Linked DNA regions of Pelodiscus sinensis. The protein of the gene in region 2 purifies or fractionates together with the protein of the main gene of each other region. This does not show direct contact. Links are inferred from orthologs where the notes say so. Each region holds a gene or a part of one and is shown on either strand. Other genes may lie near its edges.

Region 1 (6,944 bases), on a different chromosome or scaffold from region 2:
ATCCCCCTTTATTCGGCTTTGGTGAGGCCACATCTGGAGTACTGTGTCCAGTTCTGGGCCCCCCACTACAAAAAGGATGCGGACGCATTGGAGAGGGTCCAGCGGAGGGCAACCAAAATGATTAGGGGTCTGGAGCATATGACCTACGAGGAGAGGCTGAGGGACTTGGGTCTGTTTAGTCTGCAGAAGCAAAGAGTGAGGGGGGACTTGATAGCAGCCTTCAACTTCCTGAAGGGAGGTTCCAAAGAGGATGGAGAGAGGCTGTTCTCAGTAGTGACAGATGGCAGAACAAGGAGCAATGGTCTCAAGTTGTGGTGGGAGAGGTCCAGATTGGATATTAGGAAAAACTATTTTACTAGGAGGGTAGTGAAGCATTGGAATGGGTTACCTAGGGAAGTAGTGGAGTCTCCATCCCTAGAGGTGTTTAAGTCTCGGCTTGACAAAGCCCTGGCCGGGTTGATTTAGATGGGATTGGTCCTGCCTAGAGTGGAGGGCTGGACTTGACGACCTTCTGAGGTCTCTTCCAGTTCTGATTCTATGATAAGGGGATGGTTGGATGAAATAACATGATCTTGGTAACTAATTGACCATTCATTTCCAGTTGGAAATAGGTCAATGGAGGGATGATAGGAGTTGCTATAGGGAACTTTCTGGGTGTCTGGCTGGTGAGTCTTGCCCACATGCTCAGGGTTTAGCTGATCGCCATATTTGGGGTCAGGAAGGAATTTTCCTCCAGGGTAGATTGGCAGAGGCCCTGGAGGTTTTTCGCCTTCCTCTGTAGCATTGGGCACAGATCACAGCTGAAGGACTCTCTGCATGTTGGGGCCTTCAAAGTATTGGAAGGCTTCAATATCTGAGACATAGGTGAGAGGATTATTCTAAGAGGGGTGGGCGAGATTCTGTGGCCTGCACTGTGCAGGGGGTCAGACTAGATGATCATAATGGTCCCTTCTGACCTTAAAGTCTATGAGTCTATGAGACTAGTCCACTATCCGATAAGCAAAAACGCATCAACTATTCAATTAGTCAATTACCCAATACTTAATATCCTTATTAGGCATATGCCTTAAGCCACTGGTCTCCAACCTTTTTAAGCACAATTTTTTTTAATTTAAGTGCAATATAAGAGCTACCTCAGACTAAAATACCCGTACCGCACCTCCTTCATGTCCCTTCTCTGAGACCCCGCCACTGCTCTGTCCTCCCTCCCTTCCCCATCTTCCCTCCCTTTCACTAAGCAGGGGCAGAAGGTTGGGGCACAGGTTCTGGTCTTGAGCTAATGGATTTGGAGTGTGAAAGGGGCTCTGAACTGAGCTTGGGGCAGGGAGTTGGGGTGCAGGTTTTGGGAGGGAGTTAGGATTTGGGGGGCTCAGGGCTGGGGCAGAGGGAGTTCATGACTGGGGCAGGGATTCAGAGCTGGCTCCAGTTGGACACTGCTTACCTCAGGTGGTTCCTGGGTGGTGGTGCAATGGGGCTAAGGCAGGCTCACCCCCCAGCAAACTCCCTCCACCCTAAGCCCTGTTGTCTCCCCCCCCACCCCAACCTCCGTTCTGTGGAGACAGACTACAGGGTGGGAGGGGGGCACCCTGACATCAGCACCCTCTCCCCTCCCTCTCCTGCTCTGTACTGCAAGCAGGAGACTGGGGGGGGGGGGGGGAGAGGGAAGCAGGTCTAAGGCAAAGGGCAGGAGGTGTACAGCAATAGGGGGAGAGGCAACTGAAATGCCAGCACTTGATAGCCTCTTGGCCAGACCAGTCAGGATCACCTGTCAGGCTCCAAGATCTACTGGTTGGTGACCACTGCCTTAATCTTTCTCTGATTCAGTTTCTGCTGAGGTGACGGAGCTTTTGCCCTCATTTGTAAAATGCACTGAGATCACTGCCTGAAAAGCATTATGTAAATAACAAGTGTGACTAATTTTCCCATCTGTGGCATCATGCTTCTACACATGCGGTTACATCACACTGTTAATGCCTGAATAGTTTATCATCCTCTTTCAGTGTGCCTTCCCCATCCCATCTCCACCATGACAGCATCCCACTCTTCTCCTTTCTGGGGAATTATCCCCCTCACCCCTGGAAACAAAGGTATCAGCATTTCCAAAGATGACTGATCTTTAGTCACTGGCTCCTATTTTAGCCCATTCTTGGAACCGCAAATTTGTTTCTGGCTTCACTGAGGTTTGATATTTCTGCCCAAGTTTGTATCACGGATGGATGAGCTAGTCTGAAATGCTTGACACCGACACCTCAAGTCAGCAGTACCCCAGGGGGCCTTCACGGCAGCGTCCTGCCTCTGCAGCAGCCCCCGCCGCCCACCCAGGGGTCCCCCCACACTCGACCACACCCCACCACCTTGGATGCCCCACACCTTGCCCCCCCCACCTAGAGAACCCCCACACTCCGCCACCACACCCCACCACCTAGGATGCCCCACACCTTGCCCCCCCCACCTAGAGAACCCCCACACTCCGCCACCCCTCCCCCCACCTAGGGGTGCCCTCCACCTCGCCCCCCCACCTAGGGAACCCCACACTCCGCCACCCCTCCCCCCACCCCTCGAACCCCACCTAGGGAACCCCACACTCCGCCACCCCTCCCCTGCCTGGGGGTGCCCAACACATCACCCCTCCCGCCTAGGGAACCCCCACACTCCGCCACCCCTCCCCCCACCCAGGGGTGCCCCACACCTCGCCCCCCCCTCCTAATTCGGCGCCCCACACACAATGTGCCCCTCCCCCCGCCCTGGGGTCCCCCCCCACACGAAGGGCCCCTCCCCGTGGCCCCAGCGAGGACGCGGGCGCTCGCCCCTCCCCCCACCGGCCGGGAATGACTCACCTCCCCCAGGGGAAGGTGCTGGGACGCTCGGCGCCAGCTACCCCGCTTGAGCCTTCCGCGCCTGCGCCCGCCGCGCTCTCCCATTGGCGGAGCCGCCCTCCCTTTGTTCTCCCCCAACGTCTCTCCCCCCGGGAACGTGCGACGCCGCGCTCAGGGTTCCGGCCTCCCCGAGACAGCTCGCCCGGCGCAGGCGCAGGCGCAGAGCAGGTGCCCCGAGCCCGTCTCCGCCCCATCCCCCACACACTTCCGGTCGCTTTCCCCGCGAGCCAGGGTCACGCGCCGGGTGCGGCGCCATAATGCGTCCGGGTGGCGGCGAGCCCAGGGTGCGTGACCGGTTGGCGTGGCGACCCCGTCCCGTCCTGGGGCCCCTCCCCCCCCCCCCCCGAGCTGGAGCGTCACATCCCCGCCCCCCCCAGCCGGAACCCTGCCCCCCCACCCCAGAGCCTTCACCCCCCCCAGTGGGAACCCTGCCCCCCCACCCCAGAGCCTTCACCCCCCCAGCGGGAACCCTGCCCCCCCCACCCCAGAGCCTTCACCCCCCCAGCGGGAACCTTGCCCCCCCACCCCAGAGCCTTCACCCCCCCCCAGCCGGAACCCTGCCCCCCCACCCCAGAGCCTTCACCCCCCCCAGTGGGAACCCTGCCCCCCCACCCCAGAGCCTTCACCCCCCCAGCGGGAACCCTGCCCCCCCACCCCAGAGCCTTCACCCCCCCAGCGGGAACCTTGCCCCCCCACCCCAGAGCCTTCACCCCCCCCCAGCGGGAACCCTGCCCCCCCACCCCAGAGCCTTCACCCCCCCCCAGCGGGAACCCTGCCCCCCCCACCCCAGAACCTTCACCCCCCCCAGCGGGAACCCTGCCCTCCCCACCCCAGAGCCTTCACCCCCCCCAGCCAGAACCCTGCCCCCCCACCCCAGAGCCTTCACCCCCCCCCAGCGGGAACCCTGCCCCCCCCACCCCAGAGCCTTCACCCCCCCAGCGGGAACCCTGCCCCCCCACCCCAGAGCCTTCACCCCCCCCAGCCGGAACCCTGCCCCCCCACCCCAGAGCCTTCACCCCCCCAGCGGGAACCCTGCCCCCCCACCCCAGAACCTTCACCCCCCCCAGCGGGAACCCTGCCCCCCCACCCCAGAACCTTCACCCCCCCCAGCGGGAACCCTGCCCCCCCACCCCAGAACCTTCACACACCCCCAGCAGGAACCCTGCCCCCCCACCCCAGAACCTTCGCACCCCCCCAGCAGGAATCCTGCCCCCCATGGGGCCCCTCACTCTGCCTCCCTGCGATCCCAGACCCTCCCCCTCTCGGGTCCCCTCATCCCCCCATGGCGGGAGCCCCCCCCATCCCATGCCCATAGTGGGGAGCCCGGCCCCCTCCCACGCTCCTGAGACGGGACTCCGGGTCCCCCTCCTTTCCTGGGGACCCTCCCTTCTTGTCAGCTGGAGTCTCGTGGAGGACTCCAGGGATACATTTCAGGCTCTTGGGTTTCCCTCTGCTGGGGTTAAGAGGAGTTTGGGGTTCCAGGAACGTCTCTTCCTTCACTTTCCTCTCCTCCCCCAGGCATGGCTGCTATCAGTCCTTGTTACCACTCAACCACCTCATTATTTTTTAATGATTGGGAGCTGCCTGTCTGTATGCAGCATCCCAAGCAGTGCAGAGTATATGACATGAATGCAGGAGCTCAGCTCGATCCCTGAAGGACCTGACCTTTTCAAACTATCCTGCTTAATGTTTTCTGTCGCATCTGGCAATCTTAGAACAGGACACGTTTTATTTTTTGCTTGCAATAGAAGCTTTTCTTTTTGTTCCCCGAGCTGGAGAGAGACCCCACTGAAATGAACATGTCTGCTGTTTATTTCTAGAAACAGGCAAGTGGCTGTTCTCTTCTGCGACCCACGGAGAATGCTAAGCGAAAGCATGGAAATAATTTAATATGGACACGTAACTAGACTATCTGCCACTGACATGAAAGAGATCTACAAGGAATATAGGCTTTGGTTACTGTGATTTGTTTGTAATGTAGCCATTCGATCAAGGTGGCCATAAACAATTGAAGCAACATTAAAGGACATTTCTAACCCTGCATGTTGAAACACAAAAGAACAAAGCTTTTCCTGCAAGATTTTATCTGTATTTTGGAATTGGATTTTTTTTAACTGTGAGTTAATTTTTATACATTTGAAAGATCCACTCAGATTAATGTACAGCTATTTATTTTAACCTAACTTAATATATTGTCTGATCACATCTTCTCGACCAAGTACCAGGAAAGTTATATAATCTGAATGGACAGAGCAGCATTTGCCTGTTCCACTGCGTTCTTTCATGACTACAGCAGTGCATCTCATGTAGCAGTCAGCCTGCCCCAAGGACATGTTGACTATATTGAAAAGGTAGAATCGTTCAGTTACTCCGATTTTTTCAGGGACTATCTGATTCCCAACCACCCCTGTGTTTTCTCAGCTAAATTCACTGAGGGCTGGGGCAGCAGGAGGAATTGGGTGACTCAGGATGGGAAACCTAACTTTGATTACCTACTGCAGCATTTTGGTAAGTGAATTAAGTTTTTAATATGCCATTTAATATGAAAATCTGCCTAATTGTCAGGGTGGTGAAACACTGGAATAAATTGCCTATGGAGGTTGTCGAATCTCTATCATTGGAGATTTTAAAAAGCAGGCTAGATAGATATCTATCAGCGATGATCTAGATCATGGGTGGGCAATAATTTTTTAAGGGAGGCCACGTCACAAATTTCAGAAGTGTCCATGAGCCAACCTGGAAGGGGCGGGGCCTTGGGCAGAAGGGGCGGGCCATGTGCTGTAAAAAAATGCCACTATGGTTTTTACACAACAAAGTAATTCAATTTTAATAATACTTAACTGCATACAACATTATCCAAAGATTATCATAGAAGGCAACACTTGTAAAATTTGTAATAATAACTCTTAACATTTTGAGAAAACTTGTAACATTTATAATAACAACACTAATACTAAACATAGGGCACTGAAAATTAATACTTAGTCCTGCCATGAGTGCAGGGAACTAAACTAAAGGACTTTGAGGCCCTTTCCAGACCTATGATTCCATGAAATAGTATCAGTGTCCCTGTTTTTCCTCCCACCCACATTAAGGATATTCAGTTTCATGAGTTACAAAAAGATTCCCACACTTGACTATAAAAATGGCATCTAGATATTTTTATCAAAACCAGTTGTAATGAGATAGGTTATTGGGCATTTAAAGCTACTTCTTGAAGGAAGCAGCTACAATTTTCAGTGATTAACTATGTTTTTGAAACGCCTTGAAACATAGGAGCACTTCAGGACACAAATGATCTTTTTTTTTTCAATTAGAATATTTATGTAGTGAAATGAATGGTATGTGTATGTGCTTTTTTAATTCATTAAAAGACACTCATTAACTAAAACCATTAACCAGCCCAAACCATATTTTTTCTGCTGTGCTCCTGGGCAAGATGATGCTGTGGGACCTGGGGCGGAAGAGGTGGTATTGAGAGCTACCCTACTGGGAACTTTGCTTGCCCTGGGGTTCCTACCCCCCTAACTTCTGGCCAATGGACGGGACCTGGAGCAGAGGGGAGGGTGCCAGGGGTTAGCCTCCTCCCAGAGTTGTCTGGGGTGGAGGCTTAGATTTCTTACAGCTCCTGCCCCCCACTTCTAACCTGTTGCCTGGCAGCTGCCCGGCATGCACAAGCCCTTTGAATAGAAGCAGTTGAAAGGGCTCGCGCCTTTGGGCAGCTCGATCAGTGGGGCAGAGCTGTGAGCTCTTTTCAGTTGCTTCTGTTTAACGGGCTTGTGCCTGTCGGGTGGCTGCGAGGCAATGCAGCCACCCAGCAAACAAGCCCTTTAAATAGAAGCAGTTGAAAGAGCTCGCGTCTCTGGCTCCCTAGCAACATGTTAGAAGCTGGGGGAGCTGCCAGCCCTTTTAAATGCTTCTATTGAAAGGGCTTGTGCCTTCCCTGCACCTGTCAGGCAATGCTTGCCTTGCAGCCCCAGGAACAGGAGAGTCCTGTAAATAAAAACAGCGTGGCTATGTCTACACTCGCGGCTTCTTGTGCAAGAACTCTTGCGCAAAAAAACGTCC
Region 2 (7,713 bases):
CTCAAGCGTGACTTCTAAGTTGCTGGTGCCCCTTTATTTTATAAAGGCCTTTGATAAAACATGCCTTGACTATTTTGAGAAAGATTTGTGCTAGTTCTATGCCTCATGTGCTGCTGTGTTGACACAGATCAGGTGAAATGGTGTAAGAGCATAGAAGTAGGAGGATTATATTCGGTTTCATCCAACTGGCCATGAGAAGACAAAGCAAAGTGACAATACTGGGGAACAGGAGGGGGAAGAAAACAAAAAATTAAAAAAAAATCATTCTAATTTTGTCTTGTGCTTCCTGAGTTCAGTTCATTCCCATATCACCTGAATCGCACCATCAGTATACATGTAAAGAGTCCAGGCCTCCAAACCCTTATTCAAGGTAAACTTGAGCTTGTAAGTGCTTCTATGCAGAGATCGCATTGTACTAGGGATGTTAAGAGGCGGGTATTGAACTAATTGAGTAGTCGATAAAAATTCTATCAGCTACTTGATTAGTTGATAGGCAGCCTGCTCAGTCCTGACTCCTGGCAGGTGCAGGACCAAACCTCACTGTGGCTCTGCAATTTAAAAGGCAGTAGGAGCCAGGCAGCCTGCCCCCCCCCCCCCCGGCTCCTACTGCCTTTTAAATTGCAGAGCTGCCTTGGGGTTTGGTCCTACACCAGGTCCGTGGCCAGGACTGACCTGCTGACAGGGGTTGCTTTGCAGCAGCAGCAGCAGCCGCCCCTCCCCACTGCAAAGGGCAGGATGGGCAGCACTGTGGAGAGAGTGCTGGGGGGAAAACCAGCTTTTAAACCGGCTTCTCCCCACTACTACCTCTGATACAGAGGCAGCAAAGGGTGGGGGGCAGAAATGCGAGTAGTCCACTCCCTAGGCTGTGGGAACACAAAGTTTACAGCACTTCCTGGCTAAATCCTGATCTGGTTGTCTGGGTACTATGGTTATAATCAAGATCAGGCTACAAACTTGCCATCTAGTTTGCTAGAGGGAACTGTGATTTTTCACAAGAAGCAAAGGGCTTCACAGGAGAAGATCTGAGATGCTTATTTCTCTCCCGCAATGGAAACTGCTTTATTGCACATCTATGAGAGGAAGAGAGCTTGCAGGGAACCGTCCCTTGGAAGAGTCGGGGCGGACTAACAGGCCTTAAGCAGAGGCCACCACGGGCTGCAGGGGTGACCAGCTGTGGCTATTGACAAAGCGCTCGAGGTACAGGGGGTGCCTGGGAGCCGCCGTGGGGCTGACAGCACGGCCAGGGCTTGGGGGGCCGCTCCCGGGGGCCCAGCCCGGACATAGGGGAGGCGGGCGGCTGGGCCGGCTCCGGGAGGCAAATGGGCGATAGGCGGGCGGGCCGGCCCCCCCCCGAACCGAACCAGGTCCCTCCCCGGGCCCCCCGCCGGACCCCCCCCCAAACCGAACCAGGTCCCTCCCCGGGCCTCCCCCCCCGGACCCCCCCCCGAACCGAACCAGGTCCCTCCCCGGGCCTCCCTCGCCGGACCCCCCCCCCCCCCGAACCAGGTCCCTCCCCGGGCCCCCCGCCGGACCCCCCCCCGAACCGAACCAGGTCCCTCCCCGGGCCTCCCTCGCCGGACCCCCCCCCCCGAACCAAACCAGGTCCCTCCCCGGGCCTCCCTCGCCGGCCCCCCCCCCCCCGAACCGAACCAGGTCCCTCCCCGGGCCTCCCTCGCCGGACCCCCCCCCCGAACCGAACCAGGTCCCTCCCCGGGCCTCCCTCGCCGGACCCCCCCCCCGAACCGAACCAGGTCCCTCCCCGGGCCTCCCCCGCCGGACCCCCCCCCCCCGAACCGAACCAGGTCCCTCCCCGGGCCTCCCTCGCCGGACCCCCCCCCCGAACCGAACCAGGTCCCTCCCCGGGCCTCCCTCGCCGGACCCCCCCCCCGAACCGAACCAGGTCCCTCCCCGGGCCTCCCTCGCCGGACCCCCCCCCCCCGAACCGAACCAGGTCCCTCCCCGGGCCTCCCTCGCCGGACCCCCCCCCCGAACCGAACCAGGTCCCTCCCCGGGCCTCCCTCGCCGGACCCCCCCCCCCCCCCCCGAACCGAACCAGGTCCCTCCCCGGGCCTCCCTCGCCGGACCCCCCCCCCCCCGAACCGAACCAGGTCCCTCCCCGGGCCTCCCTCGCCGGACCCCCCCCCCCGAACCGAACCAGGTCCCTCCCCGGGCCTCCCTCGCCGGACCCCCCCCCCCCCGAACCGAACCAGGTCCCTCCCCGGGCCTCCCTCGCCGGACCCCCCCCCCCCGAACCGAACCAGGTCCCTCCCCGGGCCTCCCTCGCCGGACCCCCCCCCCGAACCGAACCAGGTCCCTCCCCGGGCCTCCCTCGCCGGACCCCCCCCCCCGAACCGAACCAGGTCCCTCCCCGGGCCTCCCTCGCCGGACCCCCCCCCCCGAACCGAACCAGGTCCCTCCCCGGGCCTCCCTCGCCGGACCCCCCCCCCCCGAACCGAACCAGGTCCCTCCCCGGGCCTCCCTCGCCGGACCCCCCCCCGAACCGAACCAGGTCCCTCCCCGGGCCTCCCTCGCCGGACCCCCCCCCCCCCGAACCGAACCAGGTCCCTCCCCGGGCCTCCCTCGCCGGACCCCCCCCCCCGAACCGAACCAGGTCCCTCCCCGGCCCCCCCTGCCGGATCCCCCCGCCGAGCCGAACCGGGCCCCCCCCGCCGGGCCGAACCGGGCCCCCCCCGCCGGGCCGAACCGGGCCCCCCCCGCCGGGCCGCACTCACTGCACTGGGCGATGCGCTGCACGTTGGCGCTGCAGGTCTGGACGATGGCGCCGAAGTCCCGGGCCGGGGGGCCCGCGGGCCGGCCCGCCTCCAGCGGCCCGTAGGACATGGCGCAGCCGGGCTGGGCGCTGGCTCCGGACGGGGCAGGCGGGAGCGCAGCTGACCAGGGCAAAACACCGCCGCGCCACTGCGCACGCGCACTGCTACCGGCACTAAGGCCCACCCCGGGCGGCGCGTGCGCACTCGCTGTCTCTCAGCTGCGGGCTGGCAGGCCCTTGGGCGCCATGGTTACGGGCCCGGAAGGGGTGAAGACCCCGCCTTGCCCCGCCCTGCGCGCGGAGCTCAGCTTGCACTGCGCCTGCGCCATGGAGGTCCGGGCCTGTCTCGCGGAGCCTGGCGAAGGGGGCGGAGCGAGCCTCCCAGCGACGATGGACTGGATGGGAGCAGCAGAGCGCACATAGCCCCGCCCCCGAGCGGGCTAGCTCCGCCCCCTCCCCAGCCGGGCCTAGAGCCCTGCGAGCATGGAGCCGCCCCTCCCCCTATTAGCAGGCACTGGCCAGGGGCGGGCAGAGGCCGCGAGCCCAAGGCAGGACCAGCCCGGCTCCATCATCCCGGCCAGGGCTGTGTCAGCGAGACACACACCTCCAGGGACTGAGCCCCCCCAGGGCACCCAGCCCAGCGCTTCCCACCGCCTGGGGACCTGCCCCCCTGCAACTGGAGCCCATTGCCCCTTGTCCTGCCACCCGCCCCCCCTGAGACCAGCCTCTCTGGAACCCCCCTTCAGGAACGTGCCGGCTGCCCTCAAATCCCCCCTCGCTCTTCGCTCCTGCAGATAAACAAGGCCAACTCCCTCAGCCTCTCCTCAGAGGTCATGTGCTCCAGCCCCCTCATCATTTTGGTCACCCTCCCCTGGACCCTCTTCAATGTGTCCACGACCTTTTTGTAGTGGGGGGCCCAGAACTGGACACAATACTCCAGATGTTGACTCAACAGAGCTGAATAAAGGGGAATAATGACATCTCTGGATCTGCTGGCAATGCTCCTCCTAATGCACCCTAATATGCCATTAGCCTTCTTGGCTACAAGGGCACCCTGTTGATTCATATCCAGCTTCTCATCCACTGTAATCCCCAGGTCCTTTTCTGCAGAATTACTACTTAGCCAGTTGATCCCCAGCTTGTAACTATGCTTGGGAATCTTCCATCCCAAGTGCAGGACTCTGCACTTGTCCTTGTTGAACCTCATCAGATTTCTTGTGGCCCAATCTACTAATCTGTCCAGGTCACTCTGGACCCTAACCCTGCCCTCCAGCATATCTACCTCTCCCCCTAGCTTAGTGTCATATGCGAACTTGCTGAGGGTGCAATCCATCCCTTCATCCAGGTCATTAATAAAGATGTTGGGAAGAAGGATCCAAGAACTCGGAGCGCAAGTGGTGTTCTCGTCCATCCTCCCTGTTGAAGGGAAAGGACTGGGCAGGGATCGTCGAATTGAGGACGTCAATGCGTGGTTGCGCAGGTGGTGTCGCAGAGAGGGCTTTGGTTTCTTTGACCATGGGACTCTGTTCCGGGCACAAGGATTGTTAGGAAGAGATGGGATCCACCTAACGGAGAGAGGAAGGAGCATCTTCGTGGGCAGGCTTGCAAACCTAGTGAGGAGGGCTTTAAACTAGGTTCGTCGGAGGACAGTGACCAAAACCCTGAGGGGAGTGGGAAAGTCGGATACCGGGAGGAAATGCAGAGAGGAAGGAGCAAGAAAGAAGGACCCCTTTTCAGCTTTTGCGGAAATTCAAGCGGCCAGTGTAGACAGCTGGCAAGTTTTTCCGGAAAAGCGGTTGATTTTCCGGAAAAACTGGCCAGTCTAGACACAGCCCTGGAGTATTGTGTCCAGTTCTGGGCCCCCCACTACAAAAAGGATGTGGGTGCATTGGAGAGGGTCCAGTGGAGGGCAACCAAAATGATTAGGGGGCTGGAGCATATGACTTATGAGGAGAGGCTGAGGGAGTTGGGTCTGTTTAGTCTGCAGAAGTGAAGAGTGGGGGGGGATTTGATAGCAGCCTTCAACTTCCTGAAGAGAGGTTCCAGAGGATGGAGAGAGGCTGTTCTCAGTAGTGACAGATGGTAGAACAAGGAGCATTGGTCTCAAGTTGTGGTGGGAGAGGTCCAGGTTGGATATTAGGAAAAACTATTTCCCTAGGAGGGTGGTGAAGCACTGGAATGGGTTACCTTTAATCACCCTGACATCTGTTGGGAAACCAATACAGCAGTACACAGGCAATCCAGGAAGTTTTTGGAGAATGTTGGGGATAACTTCTTGGTACAAGTGCTGAAGGATCCGACCAGGGGCCGGGCACAGCTTGACCTTCTCCTCACAAACAGGGAGGAACTAATAGGGGACGTAGAGGTGGGTGACACCCTGGGAAGCAGTGATCATGAGATGGTAGATTTCAGGATCCTGACCAAAGGAAGAAAAGAGAGTAGTAAAATACACACCTTGGACTTCAAAAAAGCAGATTTTGACTCCCTCAGAGATCTGATGGAAAGAATCCCCTGGGATGTTAACATGAAGGGGAAAGGAGTCCAGGACAGCTGGCAGTATTTTAAAGAAGCCTTATTGAAGGCACAGAAAGAAACCATCCCGACGCATAGCAAGAGAGGCAAACCTGGTAGGAGACCGGATTGGCTTACAGGGGAAATCCTTGGTGAACTTAAGCACAAAAAGAAAGCTTACAGAAAGTGGAAACTTGGACAAATGACCAGGGAGGGGTTTAAATGTATAGTTCGAGAATGCCGGGGGGTTATCAGGAATGCGAAAGCGCAAATGGAGTTGCGACTGGCTAAGGATGTGAAGGATACAAGAAAGGTTTCTACAGGCATGTCAACAAGAAGAAGGTGATCAGAGAGGGTGTGCGGCCCCTAATGGATGAAGGAGGTAACCTAGTGACAGATGATGTGGGGAAAGCTGAAGTACTCAATGCTTTCTTTGCCTCTGTATTCACGGACAAGGTCGGCTCCTGGACTTCTGTGCTAAGTGACACAAGACGAGAAGAAGATGGACAGCCCTTGGTGGGTAAAGAACAGGTTAGGAACTATTTAGAAAAGCTAAACATACACAAATCCATGGGTCCAGACTTAATGCACCCGAGGGTACTGAGGGAGTTGGCAAATGTCATTGAGGAGCCTTTGGCCATTATCTTTGAAAAGTCGTGGAGATCAAGAGAAATCCCGGATGATTGGAAAAAGGCAAATGTAGTGCCCATCTTCAAAAAAGGGAAGAAGGACGATCCAGGGAACTATAGGCCGGTTTCTACAGTCTTACCTCGGTTCCTGGAAAAATCATGGAAGGGATCCTAAAGGAATCCATTTTGAGACACTTGGATGAGAGGAAAGTGATCAGGAATAGTCAGCATGGATTCACAAAGGGCAAGTCGTGCCTGACCAATCTGATTAGCTTCTATGATGAGGTAACTGGCTCAGTGGACATGGGAAAGTCAGTGGATGTTATATACCTTGACTTTAGCAAGGCTTTTGATACGGTCTCCCACGCTATTCTTGCCAGCAAGTTAAGGGAATGTGGATTGGGTAAATGGACGGTAAGATGGATAGAAAGATGGCTAGAAGGCCGGGCCCAGCGGGTACTGATCAACGGTTCGATGTCAGGATGGCGGTCGGTTTCTAGTGGAGTGCCCCAAGGTTTGGTTCTAGGACCGGTTTTGTTCAATATCTTTATTAATGACCTGGATGAGGGGATGGATTGCACCCTCAGCAAGTTTGCAGATGACACTAAGCTAGGGAGAGAGGTAGATACGCTTAAGGGCAGAGATAGGGTCCAGAGTGACTTAGACAAATTGGAGGACTGGGCCACAAGAAATCTGATGAGGTTCAACAAGGACAAGTGTAGAGTCCTGCACTTGGGACGGAAGAATCCCAAGCATTGTTACAGGCTGGGGACCAACCAGCTAAGTAGTAGTTCTGCAGAAAAGGACCTGGGGGTTACAGTGGATGAGAAGCTAGATATGAGTCAACAGTGTGCCCTTGTAGCCAAGAAGGCTAATGGCATATTAGGATGCATTAAGAGGAGCATTGCCAGCAGATCCAGAGATGTCATTATACCCCTTTATTCGGCTTTGGTGAGGCCACATCTGGAGTATTGTGTCCAGTTCTGGGCCCCCCACTACAAAAAGGATGCGGAAGCATTGGAGAGGGTCCAGCGGAGGGCAACCAAAATGATTAGGGGCCTGGAGCATATGACTTATGAGGAGAGGCTGAGGGACTTGGGTCTGTTTAGTCTGCAGAAGCGAAGAGCGAGGGGGGACTTGATAGCAGCCTTCAACTTCCTGAAGGGAGGTTCCAAAGAGGATGGAGAGAGGCTGTTCTCAGTAGTGACAGATGGCAGAACAAGGAGCAATGGTCTCAAGTTGTGGTGGGAGAGGTCCAGATTGGATATTAGGAAAAACTATTTTACTAGGAGGGTAGTGAAGCATTGGAATGGGTTACCTAGGGAAGTAGTGGAGTCTCCATCCCTAGAGGTGTTTAAGTCTCGGCTTGACAAAGCCCTGGCCGGGTTGATTTAGTTGGGATTGGTCCTGCTAAAGCAGGGGGCTGGACTTCATGACCTTCTGAGGTCTCTTCCTGCTCTATGGTTCTATGATTCTATGCTGAACAAAGCCAGTCCTAGAACAGATCGTTGGGGCACTCTGCTAGAAATCGACCACTAACCTGACATCGAGCCGTTGATCACTCCTCATTGGGCCCGACAGTCTGGCCAGCTTTCTATCCATCTTACCGTCCATTTATCCAATCCATATTCCCTTAACTTGCTGATAAGAATATTGTGGGAGACCGTATCAAAAGCCTTGCTAAAGTCAAGGTATATCACATCCACTGACTTTCCCATATCCACAGACCAGTTACCTCATCATAGAAGCTACTGGGCATGACAGCTGGGGCAGGTCTGCGTCAGCACATGGAGGGGGCAAAGT
Region 3 (7,700 bases), on a different chromosome or scaffold from region 2:
GCATTACGGGACTTTCTACAGGGCCGGTCCTGCTCCGCGAGGATGGGACCAGATACCTCTCTGCTCTTCCGCTGGGCGAAGGCCAGGGCTGACGGGCTGGATACGTGATCCTGCATCTCCTGCGAGGGAGGGAAGGAAATGGTTAAAACACAAGCTTGATCTGAGGTCAGAGGACTTTTGGTGGGTGCAGGGGGGAAGCACAGAGGTTTGGGAGAGCAACTCAGAGCATTTCGATGGGGGTCCCCCTTTCTGTCAGCCTCACATACAGGGACTTCCCCACAGTCAGCCAGCAAGAGCAGGAACAGAGCCCAAGTGACCTGGGTTTCCCCTGCCTTAACCACTAGGCCCCCCACCCATCTCAGAGCCAAGGACAGAATGCAGGAGCCCTGACTCCTAGCCCACTGCTCTCTCCAACACACACATTTCAGAACAACCTGCTGCAAATCATGGCCCTGACTCAGTTTCTCCTCCTCTGAGCTATTGGGGTCCCTCTACTGCATTAGCTGGTGTGCCCCACTAGAGGGGAGTAGAACCTCACGCTCTCAGAAGAGGTCTTCATTCCTCCAGTAGGGGGCAGCCCTGTGACTCAAACACAAAGGGAAGAGGGGGTGCAAGGCGGGGGGGGGTCCCCCACCTTAACTGAGTCCCGCATCTGCCTCACGAATGCCCGTCTCTCCGTCAGCTCGCTGGCTTCGATCCTGAACTTGCGAGGGTTTGACTCCACAATGCGTGCGCCGGCGTTAAGGACCAAGTGCAGATCCAGGGTGGGAGGGGGGAGCACTGGAGAGGAGCCGGTGTGTGTGTGCAGGGGGGGTTCCCAAGCAGCCCACAGACATGAAACAGCTCTCTGGATTTCCCTTCATTCCCATGGCCTGTCCCAGCAGGGGCTGCCATGGGGTGTAGGGACAAAGCGCTGGCTGCAGGGGAGGCTGCAAGGCGCCGGGAAGGGTGCTGGGGCTGGGGATGCTCCCGGACTCTGCCAGGAGGGGGGCGCTGCAAGGAGCTGAGCAGGGTGCTGACTGCAGGGGGGCTTCCAGACTCTGCCTGCAGGGGGTGCTGCAAAGATCAGGGCAGAGTGCTGAGAGGAGTGGGGCAGGGCGCTGGCTGCGAGGAGTGCTCCCAGACTCTGTCAGCATGGGGTGCTGGCTGCAGAGGGTGCTGAGAGGAACAGGGCAGGGCGCTGGCTGCAGGGGGTGCTCCCGGACTCTGTCGGCATGGGGTGCTGCGAGGAGCGGGGCAGGGCGCTGGCTGCAGGGGGTGCTCCCGGACTCTGTCAGCATGGGGTGCTGCGAGGAGCGGGGCAGGGTGGTGGCTGCAGGGGGTGCTCCCAGACTCTGTCAGCATGGGGTGCTGCGAGGAGCGGGGCAGGGTGGTGGCTGCAGGGGGTGCTGCGAGGAGCGGGGCAGGGCGCTGGCTGCAGGGGGTGCTCCCGGACTCTGTCAGCATGGGGTGCTGCGAGGAGCGGGGCAGGGTGGTGGCTGCAGGGGGTGCTCCCAGACTCTGTCAGCATGGGGTGCTGCGAGGAGCAGGGCAGGGAGCTGGCTGCAGGGGGTGCTGCGAGGAGTGGGGCAGGGTGCTGGCTGCAGGGGGTGCTCCCAGACTCTGTCAGCATGGGGTGCTGCGAGGAGCAGGGCAGGGTGCTGGCTGCAGGGGGTGCTCCCGGACTCTGCCAGCATGGGGTGCTGTGAGGAGCGGGGCAGGGCGCTGGCGGCAGGGGGTGCTGCGAGGAGCGGGGCAGGGAGCTGGCTGCAGGGGGTGCTCCCAGACTCTGCCAGCATGGGGTGCTGCGAGGAGCGGGGCAGGGCGCTGGCTGCAGGGGGTGCTCCCGGACTCTGCCAGCATGGGGTGCTGCGAGGAACGGGGCAGGGCGCTGGCTGCAGGGGGTGCTGCGAGGAGCGGGGCGGGGCGCTGGCACTGGGGCGCTCCTGCGGGGGAACTGGTCCCCAGAAGGATATCAATGGTCTCCTCCAGATCCTCCAGGTCCCACTGGATGCTGCGCAGGTTGTTGCGCAGCTCGTTGGTGGTCCAGTCGAACTCCTCGGAGCTGACGACATGGGTCTCCTGCAGCAGCTCGCACCAGCGCTGGTAGAGCCCCTGGGCCGTGTTCACAGCCTTCTGCACTTCCCTGGGGGCAAAGAGAGGGGGGCTGAGGAGGGGGCGAGCGAGGAGCAGGGCAGGGATCCCCAGGAAGGTGGCCTGGTGCTGCCAGGTCTTGCCCCGCTACTCTTCAGTCCCCACCCCAGAGGTGGCTGCATCTCGCACTAGGCAGGACCCCCCAGCAGCCCTGGCACCCTCCCAGCGAGGACTGGGAAGGGGGTCTCTCCTGCACAGGGTGGGTGGGGAGGATCCTGGTGGGGCACGGGGATAGGAGAAGGGTCTCTGCGGGGGAGGGGGGAGGGGAGTTCTCCAGGCGCGAGGAAGTGGGGCGGCCGGTGGGAGGGGGTTGTCCAGCGGCGCGGGAGACGGGAGGAGGTTTCTTCCGGGGGGCGGAGAGACGGGACGGGGCAGGGTCTGTTTAGGGGCGGGACGGGGGGGGGGAGAGAGGGCGGGACGGGGAGGTTTCTCCAGGACGGGGGGGGGGGCACGAGGGCGGGGGGGTTTCCCGGGGGGGATTTCCCCGGGGGGGGAGGCTTCCCCGCCCATATTCTAGGGGCACGATCCTGCGCGGGCCGCGGCCAACTCACCCCCGCACGGCAGCGAACGGGTCCTCCAGGGCCATGCTGCCCCGGCCCCGCTCCTGCTCCGGCTCCGCTCCCCGCCGCGCCCCGCCATGTGACCGGCGCTGGCCCTGCCCTCCCGAAGCTGCGGCCGCCGCCTTTGCTGAGGGCGGGGCGGGCCTGCCCGGACTTGGGGGGGAGGTGGCGGCTCCCCCCTTCTCAGCCTCCGCGGGGCGGGGGCTGCGCTGATCCCTAATTCCCGGCCCCGACCCGCTCCGCGCAGAGAAATTGAAGCCAGGAGTCCGGGCCCCCCACTTACCCCAGCCGGGGGGCTGGCACTGGAACCCAGGAGTCCTGACTTCCCCCTCCCCCACTCTAGCCACTAGGCTCCACTCCCTGCCCCCACAACAAGGGCTAGAACCTAGGAGTCCGTCCGGCCCCGCCCCCAACCATTACGCTCCCCCCCCCCCCCCAAGAGCTGAGCACTGAACCCAGGAGGTCTGACTCCTCTCCCCCATGTTCATTTCATTCCAGCCCAGCCAGTGGGACTAGTCCCTGCTGGTGCCCCCCCCCCCCCGGATTTCCCGGGACTCTTGGCTGCAGACGCCATGGGAGCCCGGCCCCCAGGCGGCTCCAGGATCCCGGCCTTTGAGGGGTGACAGGCAGCGCTTGAGACTAGCAGGCTGGGAGCAATAGCGGGGAGGGGGCTGCGTGCCCTGAGGTTGTGGGATGCGCGATTTGTTGAGGGGAGCCACAAGGGTTGCTGTGAGGAGGGGGGTTGCCTGTCAGAGTGTGGGGGGACTTGTGGCATGTGTGTGAGCTGTGTACAGCTAGATTGTGTACAGGCAGAGTGGTGAGGCAATGGGGGGGCATGGGGTGATATGCTGGTAATCAGATTGGGGGGAGGGTATGGACAGGCATCCTGTGAGGTGTATAGGTAGCTTGTGGGAAGAGTCGCACGTGGTATGTGTGCAGTCAGGTATTTGGTCAAGTTGTGGGGAGAGTTCTCGGAGATGTGTTAGGGGAGGTTAGGGGTGGAAGTGTAGAGCCAGATGGTGAGTAAGTTAGGTAGTGTTGGGGAGTTGTGAGTGGGTGGGAGAAATGGGCTGTATGGGGATGTGTGTAGTCAGGTTGTGTCTTCTTGGGTCGGGGGGATGTTGTGGGTGGATGTGTTGTATGTGGGGAAGGGATTGGTTGTGTCAAGTCAGACTGAAGGGGTTGTCATGTACTTAGGGTGATAGGTGGTGGAGAGTTTGTGTGGGTGTTAGGATGACAGGTGGTAAATGGGGGAGGGCTGGGGGTGACAGGGAGGTAGGGGTGACTGAGGGAGACTGGGGGTGACTGATAGGTGGGGGCTGGCTGGCTGGCTGGGATGCGATTGGAGACGGGGGGGTGAGAGGCAGGTAGGGGAGTTTTTAGGGAGAGATTGAGGGTACAATCAGGCAGTGGCTGGGGGGAGATCAAGGACTGGGGGTGTGAGAGGCAGGAGGGGGAGTTGTTAGAGATTGAGGGGACAGGCAGGTGGGGTCTGGCTGGGGGGACACAGGGAGCTGTGGGGGTGAGGGGCAGGAGGGGGAGTTGGGGAGAGTTAGAGGGGGCAGACAGGCGGAGACTGGCTGGGCGGAGATTGGGGGTTGTGGGGGTGAGGGGCAGGAGGGGCAGTTAGAGATTGAGGGGACAGGCAGGCGGGGTCTGGCTGGGGGGAGATTGGGGTAACAGGCAAGCGGCGGGTTGCTGGGGCGCCTGGCTGGGGGATGGGCGCATCCCACGTGCGGTGCGCGGAGGCAGGCTGCGGGGGAGGGATTTGCAGCGCGGGCAGATGGGTTTTTCCTGGTAGGATCCCGGAAGGAGGCTCCCCATAGCCCGCAATGGGGCCTTCCAGCCCTTGCCCTTATACGGAAAGAGGAAGCGAGCGGCGCTACAATCGCAACCCGGGTTGGAACGTTGGTGCGCGCCGCATTCGCGGCCCGCCCCCTGTCGTCATGGGCCCCAAATATAGTCATGGAAACGGTAACCAGGGAAGGCTGGGGTGACCTCAACAGTGGGGCGGAGCCTCCGCCTCTTCTTCCTTCCTCTTAAAGAGCCCGCGGGGGGAAAGGGCCTGTTGGCTGAGCGAGTATCCTCTGGGTGGCGGGGCCCGGGGGCTTAACTTTAACTAGCTGAAGCCCCCCCCCCCGCCCCCGCACTGACCCCCGGCCAGGGGAGGTGTCTTGCAAGGCCCGTTGCGGTGCATCCATGCAAAGCATGCGGGCTGGGAAGGTGTCACTGTTGGCCTCGGGGAGAACATGGCCCTCAGCGGAGGAGCTGGGCTCCATTGCATTGCCACGGGGGGTGCCCAGGGGGTGACTTGTAACAACCCAGAAAATGCCCCCCCCCCCAGCTGCAGGAAGCTTAACGCGCCCTGGCCTGGACGGGGCCACCTCCGGGGTGGGATCCAGCTGCGGACAGACCGCTTCGCCCCCCCGGGTTTCACACACGCAGCCGATGTTGGCGGGGCTGTGCCGGCCTCCACGCAGTCTGCCAGTCGGAGCGGGGTGTAACGAGCCGAGCCGTACGGCAGCTCGCATCGGGCGCACGCCACAGGAGTACGGTTTCATTCACAAAGAGTTCTGGCTCCGATTTGGGATCCGCTGTAGTAAGGTTTGTTTATTTGCATGAAACCAGATGCTAGAGAGCCTTGTGCAGACACACGTTTTGCAGCCACCACGCCAATGGGGCGGTTGCTCCAGTCCGTGGATTTAAACACAGATTGCGCTGTTTATCTACACACACACAACGGGGTTTGCCTTTGCCTTGGAGCTGCATTCCAGCCACCGCGCAGGGCGGTTTTATTGCGGCTGTGTGGCTGCGTTGGACGCAGGGAGAGATTTATTTGGCAGGCTGCAGTAAACAGAGAGCCGGTCTCGCTCCTTGTAACAGACACAACAACGTTGCTCGCCTTGCTTGCGTTGCGCCGAAGAGCTTGGCCTCGTGCGCATTTCAGGGCATTGCCCGCAGACCCGGCCGCGCGGCCCTGCCCACGCGGGTGGCCCCGGGGCTGCCGGGGTGGGTCGCATTGCGCGTGCACGAGGCGCTGCACTGGAGGCGGGGGCGCGCCCCCACCCGCAGGGGGCACGAGCCGCTGCATCGATTGCCCTGCCCGGCCATTTGGCGTCGGGGGGGGGGCTCCCTCCGGCCGCGGCGCTGCGCGTGCAAACCAGCCCCGGGCTCCACGCTGGACGCGCACAATGAAGCGCAAAGTTTGGGGATGTCCCTCCCCCCTCCCCCCGCGCTCCGGCTGCCTGGTTGCTTTGGCCAGCGGCTGCCCGGCAGGGTCCCTTCGGCTTCCTCCCCCTCCCCCACGCCCTGGCATTTCCGCCCCTCCCCCCACGGCGGCTGGGGGTGGCGGCGCGTTGCACCGGCCGGATGCGGCTGAGGGAGTGGGCGGGGGCGGCCCGGGCGCTGAGATCAGCAGGGGTATAAAAGCCGCGGAGCGGGGCGCGGCTGGGCTTAGTCCGGGCGGCTGGTCGGAGGCGGAGGAGCGGAGAGTCGCGAGCGAAGGCGGCGGCGCCGCAGCAGCAGCAGCAGCAGCAGCAGCTTCGCCCGGTGGGCGCGGGGGTGGGCAGACCCGGGCGCAGCCCCTCCCCCCAGCTCCGGCAGGGCCCGATCCTGCGCGCGGCATGGAGGCGCAGAAGGAGGCGCAGCGCATCATGACCATGTCGGTGTGGAAGCTCTACCACTCCCGCCTGCAGCGCGGCGGCCTCCGCCTGCACCGCAGCCTGCAGCTGTCGCTCGTCATGCGCAGCGCCCGGGAGCTCTACCTCTCGGCCAAGCTGGAGGAGGCGGAGGCAGGAGGCGAGGCGCCCTGCACGCCGGAGCAGTCGGCCGACCCCGGCCAACCCCCGCCGGAGGAGCGGGCGGCCCCCGCGGACTGTGCCGCCGCCCCCGGCGCGACGGAGCCCATGGAGACGCAGGAGAGCGGCGGGGAGCCGGCCCTGGCGCCCGCCTCCCCGGGGAAGCGGCCGGCGCGGGGCGTCTCGTTGCCCGGCGCGGGCAAAGGCAGCAGGAAGCGGCGGAGCAGCAGCCTGGACAAGCCGGGGGCGGCCGAGGCCGGGCTGGCGCCCAGCAAGAAGGCGCGGCTGGAGGAGGAGGCGGAGGGCGAGCGGCAGCCCCAGGGCCAGGACGGCCCCTTCCCCAGCCTGGCCAAGGTCCTGCAGCACCAGTTCGCCGGCAGACTGCGGAGCGGCCCGGCCAAGGGCCCCGATCCCCCCACGCCGGGCTGCCGGCCGGGGGACGGCGCGGTACTGAACATCCTGGTGCGAGCCGTGGTGGCCTTTTGAAACCGCTGCCCCGCCGCTTGGGGGGACTCGTGGCTGCGGGAAGCTGCCCCGCGGCGCGCCCGGCTCCTGGCGGGAGCTGGGGGGCGCAGCCCCTCTCCCTGGAGGAGGAGGGGGCGAGGAGCCGGCCGGGAGAGACACGCGAGGAGGAGGCTGGAGGACGGCGGAAGAAAGATCGGACTCTCCCCTCCCCTCCCCCGCCCGCTGCCCTCCCCACCCGGCTGGGACCGGGGGGAGGCGAGACAAAGGGCCGGGCCGCAGCGGGGCGAGAGACGCCGCCGCCTCCGCTTTGTGTGCGGGGGGACTGGGGGCCTGCCGGGAGGGCGAGCCTTGGGCTGACTGGTGCTATTTGCCGCCCCGCGCTCTGGGGGGGCCGGGCTGGGCTTCGGTAACTTGAGACGTGGGCCTGCTTCTTGCTCTGGGTCCTGGGGGCAGCCGGAGGGGAGGGGCGAGCTGGCGGGTTTCAACCCGAGCCGGAGCCGAGAAATACTCCAGGCCAGAGCTCCTGGATCCAGGCGGGTTTCGCCAGCCCGGGGGGGGGTCGTGGGAGGCCCGTTTCCTTCCTCAGGGGTTCACGCTTTTCTCGAAAGTGCTTCACCCCCCCCCCCCCGCCTTTATTCTTTATCCGAGGAAAAGCTCTGAGACGACCCCCCCCCCCCCCCCCCCCACTTCCAACCAGTCTGACAAGTTCTGACACAGCTCATATGACCAGCCATTGCATCACGCT
Region 4 (7,843 bases), on a different chromosome or scaffold from region 2:
TCTAATTTGTGACTATTTGTGTGTGGAATAAATTTTGTTCTGTGCGCCAAGGCATGCGCAGGTGCGCACCACCAAGAAACACTTGGTCCCAGCTATGGATCAATGGGCAGTATTTGCATCTCTCCTGGGCGGCCGCCCAAGCGCTCAGTGTACGCAAAACGCCGATGTCTCCTCCCAGACACACAGCCCAATTACAAAACAGGGATTATTTAGCAGGCACAACCCCCAGCTGGCTCCACCCTCTGAAGAAGTTGTTCAACAACTGAGAAGACACCAAGCGAGGCATCCTAAGCAGTCAGCACTGAGCGCGGCCAGCCAGAAGGATTCAACATGTCCTCCCATCTGGCTTTCTGCGCTCACATGCTGAGTGCCCCACTTGGCTTGTATCACGGTAGATGTCGTTCGTCTGAGGTCCGCTTTCAGCAATCCCTCCCCGTTCCGATGGTCCCAAAGCCCCCGGCAACGGAGCTGTGTGTGCCAGCCAGGGATCTCAGAGCACAGTGTGAGTAAACACACCCCTGCTAATTAAGGGGGCGGGGTGCCAACGAATGCAAACGAGACCCTGAGTTGCCAGGCACTCACCCTTTCGCTTTTCACCGAGCCGGTCACCTCGTCGTCGTTTAGGTGGCGCTTGAATTTTGGAGGCATCTTTCCTATTCACAGAACTGGCCTGGACTGTCTGTACCGGGGGGTGGCGGAAGAAGAGGCTGCGTAGAAGGGAGAGGGAAGAAAACATCTCAGAGCCCATTGTGCTGAGATCAATTCTCTGTCCGATCGCCGCGGTCTCCCTAAAACTCAGCCCAGTGAAACAGAATCCATTGACAAATGCCACAGGAAAGAGAATGAAAAATCAACCCACCGGCCCAGCAATGCCAGGCTTTCAGGGACCCCAAGGGACAGATCACGTCGTTCCGTCTAGTTTCAGAAACTTTGACCCTGAAGAGACGTGACGGTACCTGCTTATCTTTACGCATGTGACTGTGCAGGCCACATGTGAGTTTCCGGAGGGCCAAGGCCAAAGCGTTTAAGTTCACTGGGGCTGGGACTGTGTTTTTCTGCATTTTTGTACAGCTCTGAGCACAGCGGAGAACCGATCCACAACCCTTATCAAGCCCTTTGGTCTAAAACCCCAAAGCGACCAATTTTATCAAAAAGCCACAGGTTACTAAACCAGGAAAGAAAAGCAATAAAACCTGACGAGCCCCCACAGGATTTTGGCCAAGCGCGGTCTGCTCTCTCTCTTCCACCTTGCCCCCTTTGCTACGGTCAGTGCCAACGAGGGGCCCAGTTGGAAGAGTTAAACCCTGCTTCTCTACAGAACAGGCCCATCTCATGTAGGCACGGCAGCATGCAAAGTTCTCCAGCGTTCCTCCGCCAACGTGTTCCGTTCCACCTGAGCCAGACAGACGGCCCCTGCCCTTGGCGTCTTTGGGAGTGACCCACAGATGCCGAGGGTGGTGGAGAGCTGGGCTGGGTAAATATCTGTCAGCAAGGAACTGCACCCCACTTCATAGTGATCACTTGCAGGGCTGACCTCGTCTGGCTCCGTGTCCCAGTGACCCAGGAGGTAAAGAATCTGGCTCCCCGAGCCACCCAGTTCTATCCTAAGCGGCTTTCTACCCCAAGTACCCTGGATACGGCTTTGCGGGTTTGAACATCACCACTCTCCTCGGCTGCAGGAGTCAGTGGAGATGAAACGTTGCAATCCCGGGGAACCTGCCACCCCGGAGCGGGCACATGGAAAATTGCAGGGAGAGCCGTAGGCTGTGACAATACCAGAAATGCAGGAAATTTAGCCAATGTCCCAGCACAGCGAGCACTGTCTGCTCCCCTAAACAGCCAGACAGCCCGCAGCAGGGCAGGGCCTGTCCCCATGTGCTGAAGGATGAGAGTGTCGCTACAGGTTAAGAGCAACAGTCCAGACACAACCGAAGCCAGGAGCAAAAGAGGCACAAGTTAGAGAATCTGGAGAAGTCACCCAGGCAGCTGATGGGGGTAGGGGGGTACAATGGTCCTGGGCAAGGAGTGGGGGGGGGGCGGGTGTCACCCAGCTGGCTGGGCCGGAAGCAGGGACCACAGCGAATACGAGGGGCTGGGCTGGGGGTTATCGGAGGGATCATGTGGCCGGTAGAGGAGAAGCCCTGGCAATGAGCACAGGCTGGAGGAAGTGAGAGATACCCCAGTGCTAGGGAACTGCTTTCCCCGATGGGTCTCTCCTGGGACCCCTCCCCCGTGAAGCCCCCGAACCCCACTCCCCTCTAAAACCCAGCGCTTGGGAGGAGAGGGGACCCTGAGACGAGCTCACGTGCAGCATGAGTCTACACGGGGCCACCAGACAACAGCAGAGGGGGCAAGAGCTCTGCAAGCACACGTAGCTGGGAGCCCCCAAAGCCCTTCACCCACAGAACCCCCAAAGCCTCTCCACAGAACGGCCTCCAAGGACCCCCCCAATTCCCACCCCATTCCCCCCACAGAGCCCCCTCCCCAAGGGCCCCCTCCCCCCCTACAGAGCCCCCTCCCCCAGGGCCCCCAGGCCCTGCCCCCCACAGAGCCCCCTCCCCCAGGGCCCCCAGGCCCTGCCCCCCACAGAGCCCCCTCCCCAAGGGCCCCCAGGCCCTGCCCCCCACAGAGCCCCCTCCCCCAGGGCCCCCAGGCCCTGCCCCCCACAGAGCCCCCTCCCCAAGGGCCCCCTCCCCCCCTACAGAGCCCCCTCCCCCAGGGCCCCCAGGCCCTGCCCCCCACAGAGCCCCCTCCCCAAGGGCCCCCAGGCCCTGCCCCCCACAGAGCCCCCTCCCCAAGGGCCCCCAGGCCCTGCCCCCCCGGAGCCCCCTCCCGATAACCCCCCTGCCGGCCCCGCTCACCGCTCCGCGGCTGGGAAATGGCCGGGCTGCGCGGAGGGGCCCAGCTGCGAGTCAGCTGCTCCATCGAGCGCTCGGCGATCCGGGCCGAGCGCCGAGCCATCGATTCCTGCCCGGCGCTCGGCGGGCTGGCCCCTGGGGGGCGCGCGCGTGTCTCGAGCCCACTCGCGCGAGGGGGCGGGGCTGAGGCTCGCTGCCAGCTGGGAGCCCACGTGGGCAGCGGCGCGGCGCTCGGGGCTGTCGCGGTCCCGGCCCGTGTCCACGCGGGGGTGCAGCACGGGGGGGGGGGCTCTGCACCCCCCCGCACGCACAGCGATTGTTCAGTCCCAGTGCGGGAGGGAGGAAATGCCCCCGGCCCAGATCCTACAAGGCACTTAGGTGCGTGACTGCCATTGAAGCCAAGGGGAATTAGGCGCTTGCTGCCATTGAAGCCAAGGGGAATTAGGCGCTTGCCTTCGAAGCGCTGGCGTTCAGACGTGTATCAGCGAGCCCCCAACCCGCGTGACTAGACCCCAAAGATGTTAAGGCCAGAAGCGATGGTTGGATCATTCTAGTCTATACTGCAGGCCGCAGATTTTCACCCACCTGCACCTACTAGCTTGTGTCTGACTCACCTACATCTTCCAGAAAGGCGGGGGGGGGGGGGGGCGCGAACCAGCCACCCCCCGGACCTCTTCCGCACCCAAATGCCTCCCGCCCGCCTGTAGCTCTGCCGATCAGCACCTCCCCATCTCTCCACCACGATCAACTGTTCCACGGTGGGCACCTGCATTTTCTGTGTGTAAAAATCCTGATCAATTCACTTCTCAATCTTACTTTGGAGAAGAACAGAACATATTGAACTCTAAGACCCCCTACAGGGCCTTTTCTCCAGCCTTCATTCCTTCAAAGTAGGAATAAGAGATCCTCCGGAAAAGGGCTTTTTTCCGGAGGATCGGGGCCAGTGTAGACGCTCTTTTCCGGCTTTTCTAAAAGCCGGAAAAAAGCGGCGGATATTTTTATTTAAATGCCGCGGGGGATATTTAAATCCCCCGCGGATTTCCCTATTACGACCTGTAAAATTAGCATGCCCCTTTCGGAAAAGGGGCCAGTGTAGACGTAGCCCCTGTGTTTAGAAAAAGGAGATGGAAGCAGTCCCTCTTTGGAGCGAAAGCACACACACCTACGGCAAATCCACAAACTCTGCACAACGATACTTGCCAAAAGGAAGATCCAATCTGGGGCTTCCTGACTCAGAGGGTGGCTTTTAAAATGCTGCCGTTTGCGGAACCAGTTGCAACCGTGCAGAAAAGCAGGATGTTTTGCGCATACTTACAACCTTCCACAACTGATCTGCCTCTAACTGCTGTCACTATTGTAAATCTGCTTTTGGAAAATACTCTTTTGAGATTCTGATTAGCTGGGTTGTTTTTATACAAGCAGGAAACAAGCCTAACATATAGCTACCGTACGTTTTTGTTGTTGTTTTGTTTGTTTTCTTGCAAAGGCATTTGATGGCATTAATAATTCTCCATCTGTTATTTTGTTAAATATATGAGCTTCTTTCCAATCAGTGTATGCTGGGTGTCTGTTTATGCCAATATCATTATAACCTTCCCTCCTTTCCTCCTGTTTTCAGTAAACAGCAGTTGAACATTTGGCTAGTCTGAATGTGTGAATGGGTCTGATCCTTACCTGGTGTGAATTTATCAATCAAGCTATGCTGATTCGGATTTGGCTCTCTCTCTTCCCAACTGACATTTTGGGCAGTTGCACTGGTGTGGTCTAAGGGATGGTTCAAATGTACTTATGTATTTTAAAAATGTGCATCTGTCTGTCCAATTGTGAGTCTGTTTGTTCAAGAACTCTTCCTAAATGGTAAGGGCTAGGACCACCACATTTGGTATGCAGCTTCCTCTTCTGGGCTGCTACTTGTGTGCAGTTCCTGCCTCCTCTGGTCGCTGCCTGTCCCGATGTCATTAGGGTCCAGAGTCAACACCCAGCTGAGCGGAGAATGGCCACGCCCCCTGCCTGCAGGCTCGGGCAGGCGCGAAGCTGTAGCCACTGCCCCCTGGGGAGGCTTTGGTTCTGCAGCCCATGGATTCATGTCACAGCCTCCCAGCCCCGCCCCGGGGCCCCGCCCCCGCCTCCGAGCCCCGCCCGCCCCGCAATGGGCGGGCTCCGGACGCGGACGTAGCGTCGCAACGTCCCAGGGTCGCGCGGCGCGGCGCGGGCGCACGTGGGGAGAGGCCCCGCCCCCTGCCATGGCGCTGCTGCCCCGCAGCGCGCGCGAGTTCGGCTCGGCCGGCTACTGGGAGCGCTTCTTCCGCCAGCGCGGCGCGCGCGCCTTCGAGTGGTACGGCGGGTACGCGCAGCTCCGCCCCGCCCTGCGCCGCTACGCGCGCCCCCGCGACACGGTGAGACCCCGGCCCCCCCTGCGCCCCCCCGGGATCCCCCTCCCCTCCCCCAGCGCCCCCCCGGACCCCCCCCGGGATCCCCCTCCCCTCCCCCAGCGCCCCCCCGGGATCCCCCTCCCCTCCCCCAGCGCCCCCCCCGGGATCCCCCTCCCCTCCCCCAGCGCCCCCCCCGGATCCCTCCCCCGGGATCCCCCTCCCCTCCCCCAGCGCCCCCCCCGGGATCCCCCTCCCCTCCCCCAGCGCCCCCCCGGACCCCCCCGGGATCCCCCTCCCCTCCCCCAGCGCCCCCCGGGATCCCCCTCCCCTCCCCCAGCGCCCCCCCGGGATCCCCCCCGGGATCCCCCTCCCCTCCCCCAGCGCCCCCCCGGGATCCCCCTCCCCTCCCCCAGCGCCCCCCCGGGATCCCCCTCCCCTCCCCCAGCGCCCCCCCGGATCCCCCTCCTCTCCCCCAGCGCCCCCCCGGACCCCCCCGGGATCCCCCTCCCCTCCCCCAGCGCCCCCCCGGGATCCCCCCCGGGATCCCCCTCCCCTCCCCCAGCGCCCCCCGGGATCCCCCTCCCCTCCCCCAGCCCCCCCCCGGATCCCCCTCCCCTCCCCCAGCGCCCCCCCGGGATCCCCCTCCCCTCCCCCAGCGCCCCCCCGGGATCCCCCTCCCCTCGCGCCCCCCCGGGATCCCCCTCCCCTCCCCCAGCGCCCCCCCGGGATCCCCCTCCCCTCCCCCAGCGCCCCCCCCGGATCCCTCCCCCGGGATCCCCCTCCCCTCCCCCAGCGCCCCCCCGGATCCCTCCCCCGGGATCCCCCTCCCCTCCCCCAGCGCCCTCCCGGATCCCTCCCCCGGGATCCCCCTCCCCTCCCCCAGCGCCCCCCCGGATCCCTCCCCCGGGATCTCCCTCCCCCAGCGCCCCCCCTGGCATCCCTTTCCTTCCCAGCGCCCCCCCCCGGGATCCCCCTCCCCTCCCAGCGCCCCCCCCGGATACCCCCTGGGATCCCCCTCCCCTCCCAGCGCCTCCTCCGGGATCCTGCAACCGCTCCTTCCCCCTGAGATCCCTTCCCTTCCCTCCAGCGGGATCCCCCTTCCCCTCCCCCCAGTGCCCTCCCGGATTCTCCCTCCCCCAATGCCCCCTCAGCATCCCTTCCCTTCTCCCAGCAGCCCCCCCGGGATCCCTTCCCCCTCTCTCCCCCAATGTCCCCCCCCCCGATCCTCCTCTCCCCCAAGGCCCCCCCCCCCCGGCATCCGTTCCCCACGGGTGTTTGCTCGTCTCCATGGTGTGTGAGGCGGGTTGGGACCCCCAGGGAAGCTACCCTCTCTTTGCATGTCCCAGGTGCTCGTGGTGGGTTGCGGCAACTCCGAGCTGAGCGAGCAGATGTATGACGTCGGCTACCAGGACATCGTGAACGTGGACATCAGCGAGGTGGTGATCAAGCAGATGAGGGAGCGCAACGCCGACAGGAGGCCGAAGATGAGCTTCCTGGTGATGGACATGCTGCAGATGGACTTCCCGGACGCCCGCTTCCAGGTGGTGCTGGACAAGGGCACCCTGGATGCCATCCTGGTCGACGAAGAGGAGGCCACTCTCGAAAGGGTGGACAGGATGTTCGCTGAGATTAGCCGGGTGCTGCAGGTTGGGGGCCGCTACCTGTGCGTCTCCTTGGCCCAGGCCCACGTGGTGAAGAAAGCGGTGGGCTACTTCTCCCAGGAGGGGTGGGTGGTGCGCATTCACCAGCTGGCGGGCAGCGAGGACAGAGAGGCCCAGCAGCAGTTCGTGCTGCCCGTTTTCCTCTACGTCATGACCAAGTGCAAGAAGCTCCCTGGTTTGGTGCAGCCGATCCTGGAGATCTGCACGGAGGAGCTGGACAAGCCCGTGCGGGTGGAGAGCGCGGAGCGGCTGGTGGAGGCGGTAAAGGAGAGGCAGATGTACGCGCTGCTGCGCAGCCAGCTGGACAAAGCCCCCGGTGCGGGCGACGTCTCCCTGGATCTGTGCGACGCGGACACCGGGAAGCCTCGCTACACGCTGCACGTGGTGGACAGCCCCTCCGTGAACGCCTCCCGTGACCATCACTTCGCCATCTTCATCGGTGAGTGGAGCTCCTCCGAAAAGGCGTTTCTCTCCCATCGACGGCAGCGGGGGCAGCGTTTCGCCGCAGGACTCTACAGTTCTGCTCGTAAGCCCCTGGTTAGGTATAAAAAGGCTCTGATTTTCACCTATGCTGGCTCCTAACCACTCCTGTTTGTTTCCACGGCAGTTGCTGGGTGTTCAGAAGAGAGGCTTAGGGGTTTTCCAGCTGAACGTGGGCTTGTCGGCAGAGGCTAGCAAACCCGGTGAAACGAAATAGTGCCCCAGATCTGCCACTGTCACCCAAACAGAGGGCGGGTTGCCTTTCCTTCCCCCGTCCAGCTCTCGGGCACTGAGCATTTCTCCCGCTGATTCTCCAGTAGCTAGGATGAGACGTCCCAAGTGAGGGCACCAGGAAGCCGGACACATTTTGTGTCAGTTCTCCCGAAACGGAGTTTTTCTTTAAATTCCTTCCCATGACAAGCTTTCACGTTTTCGACTGGCTTTTCCAAAGTGGGGGGAAATTCCCCCCCCT

Evidence for each region.
Region 1: the proteins of STX12 (region 2) and SNAP47 purify together in Homo sapiens (co-immunoprecipitation; 3 studies listed by BioGRID and IntAct, counting the BioPlex papers as one, with this or other methods). This does not show direct contact. The link is inferred for Pelodiscus sinensis from reciprocal best matches to the Homo sapiens genes STX12 and SNAP47.
Region 3: the proteins of STX12 (region 2) and STX10 purify together in Homo sapiens (affinity purification with mass spectrometry; 3 studies listed by BioGRID and IntAct, counting the BioPlex papers as one, with this or other methods). This does not show direct contact. The link is inferred for Pelodiscus sinensis from reciprocal best matches to the Homo sapiens genes STX12 and STX10.
Region 4: the proteins of STX12 (region 2) and VAMP4 purify together in Homo sapiens (affinity purification with mass spectrometry; 3 studies listed by BioGRID and IntAct, counting the BioPlex papers as one, with this or other methods). This does not show direct contact. The link is inferred for Pelodiscus sinensis from reciprocal best matches to the Homo sapiens genes STX12 and VAMP4.

What each region holds. Positions count from the first base shown.
Region 1 is NC_134712.1:254,224,644-254,231,587, forward strand, and holds the start of SNAP47 (synaptosomal-associated protein 47), read right to left. Parts: upstream 3,004-6,944; 5' UTR 2,838-3,003; intron 2,285-2,837; exon of another isoform or gene 1,766-2,284; intron 1-1,765. Other genes in the region: 2-oxoglutarate and iron-dependent oxygenase JMJD4, read left to right, coding at 5,120-5,384. UniProt on the Homo sapiens protein: Plays a role in intracellular membrane fusion.
Region 2 is NC_134735.1:22,766,029-22,773,741, reverse strand, and holds the start of STX12 (syntaxin-12), read right to left. Parts: upstream 3,014-7,713; 5' UTR 2,842-3,013; coding exon 2,733-2,841; intron 1-2,732. UniProt on the Homo sapiens protein: SNARE promoting fusion of transport vesicles with target membranes. Together with SNARE STX6, promotes movement of vesicles from endosomes to the cell membrane, and may therefore function in the endocytic recycling pathway.
Region 3 is NC_134729.1:13,735,771-13,743,470, forward strand, and holds the start of STX10 (syntaxin-10), read right to left. Parts: upstream 3,014-7,700; 5' UTR 2,720-3,013; coding exon 2,685-2,719; intron 2,126-2,684; coding exon 1,956-2,125; intron 730-1,955; coding exon 635-729; intron 120-634; coding exon 57-119; intron 1-56. Other genes in the region: IER2 (immediate early response gene 2 protein), read left to right, coding at 6,317-6,976. UniProt on the Homo sapiens protein: SNARE involved in vesicular transport from the late endosomes to the trans-Golgi network.
Region 4 is NC_134719.1:64,088,845-64,096,687, forward strand, and holds the start of VAMP4 (vesicle-associated membrane protein 4), read right to left. Parts: upstream 3,015-7,843; 5' UTR 2,862-3,014; intron 708-2,861; 5' UTR 649-707; coding exon 583-648; intron 1-582. Other genes in the region: METTL13 (eEF1A lysine and N-terminal methyltransferase), read left to right, coding at 5,102-5,254, 6,577-7,330. UniProt on the Homo sapiens protein: Involved in the pathway that functions to remove an inhibitor (probably synaptotagmin-4) of calcium-triggered exocytosis during the maturation of secretory granules.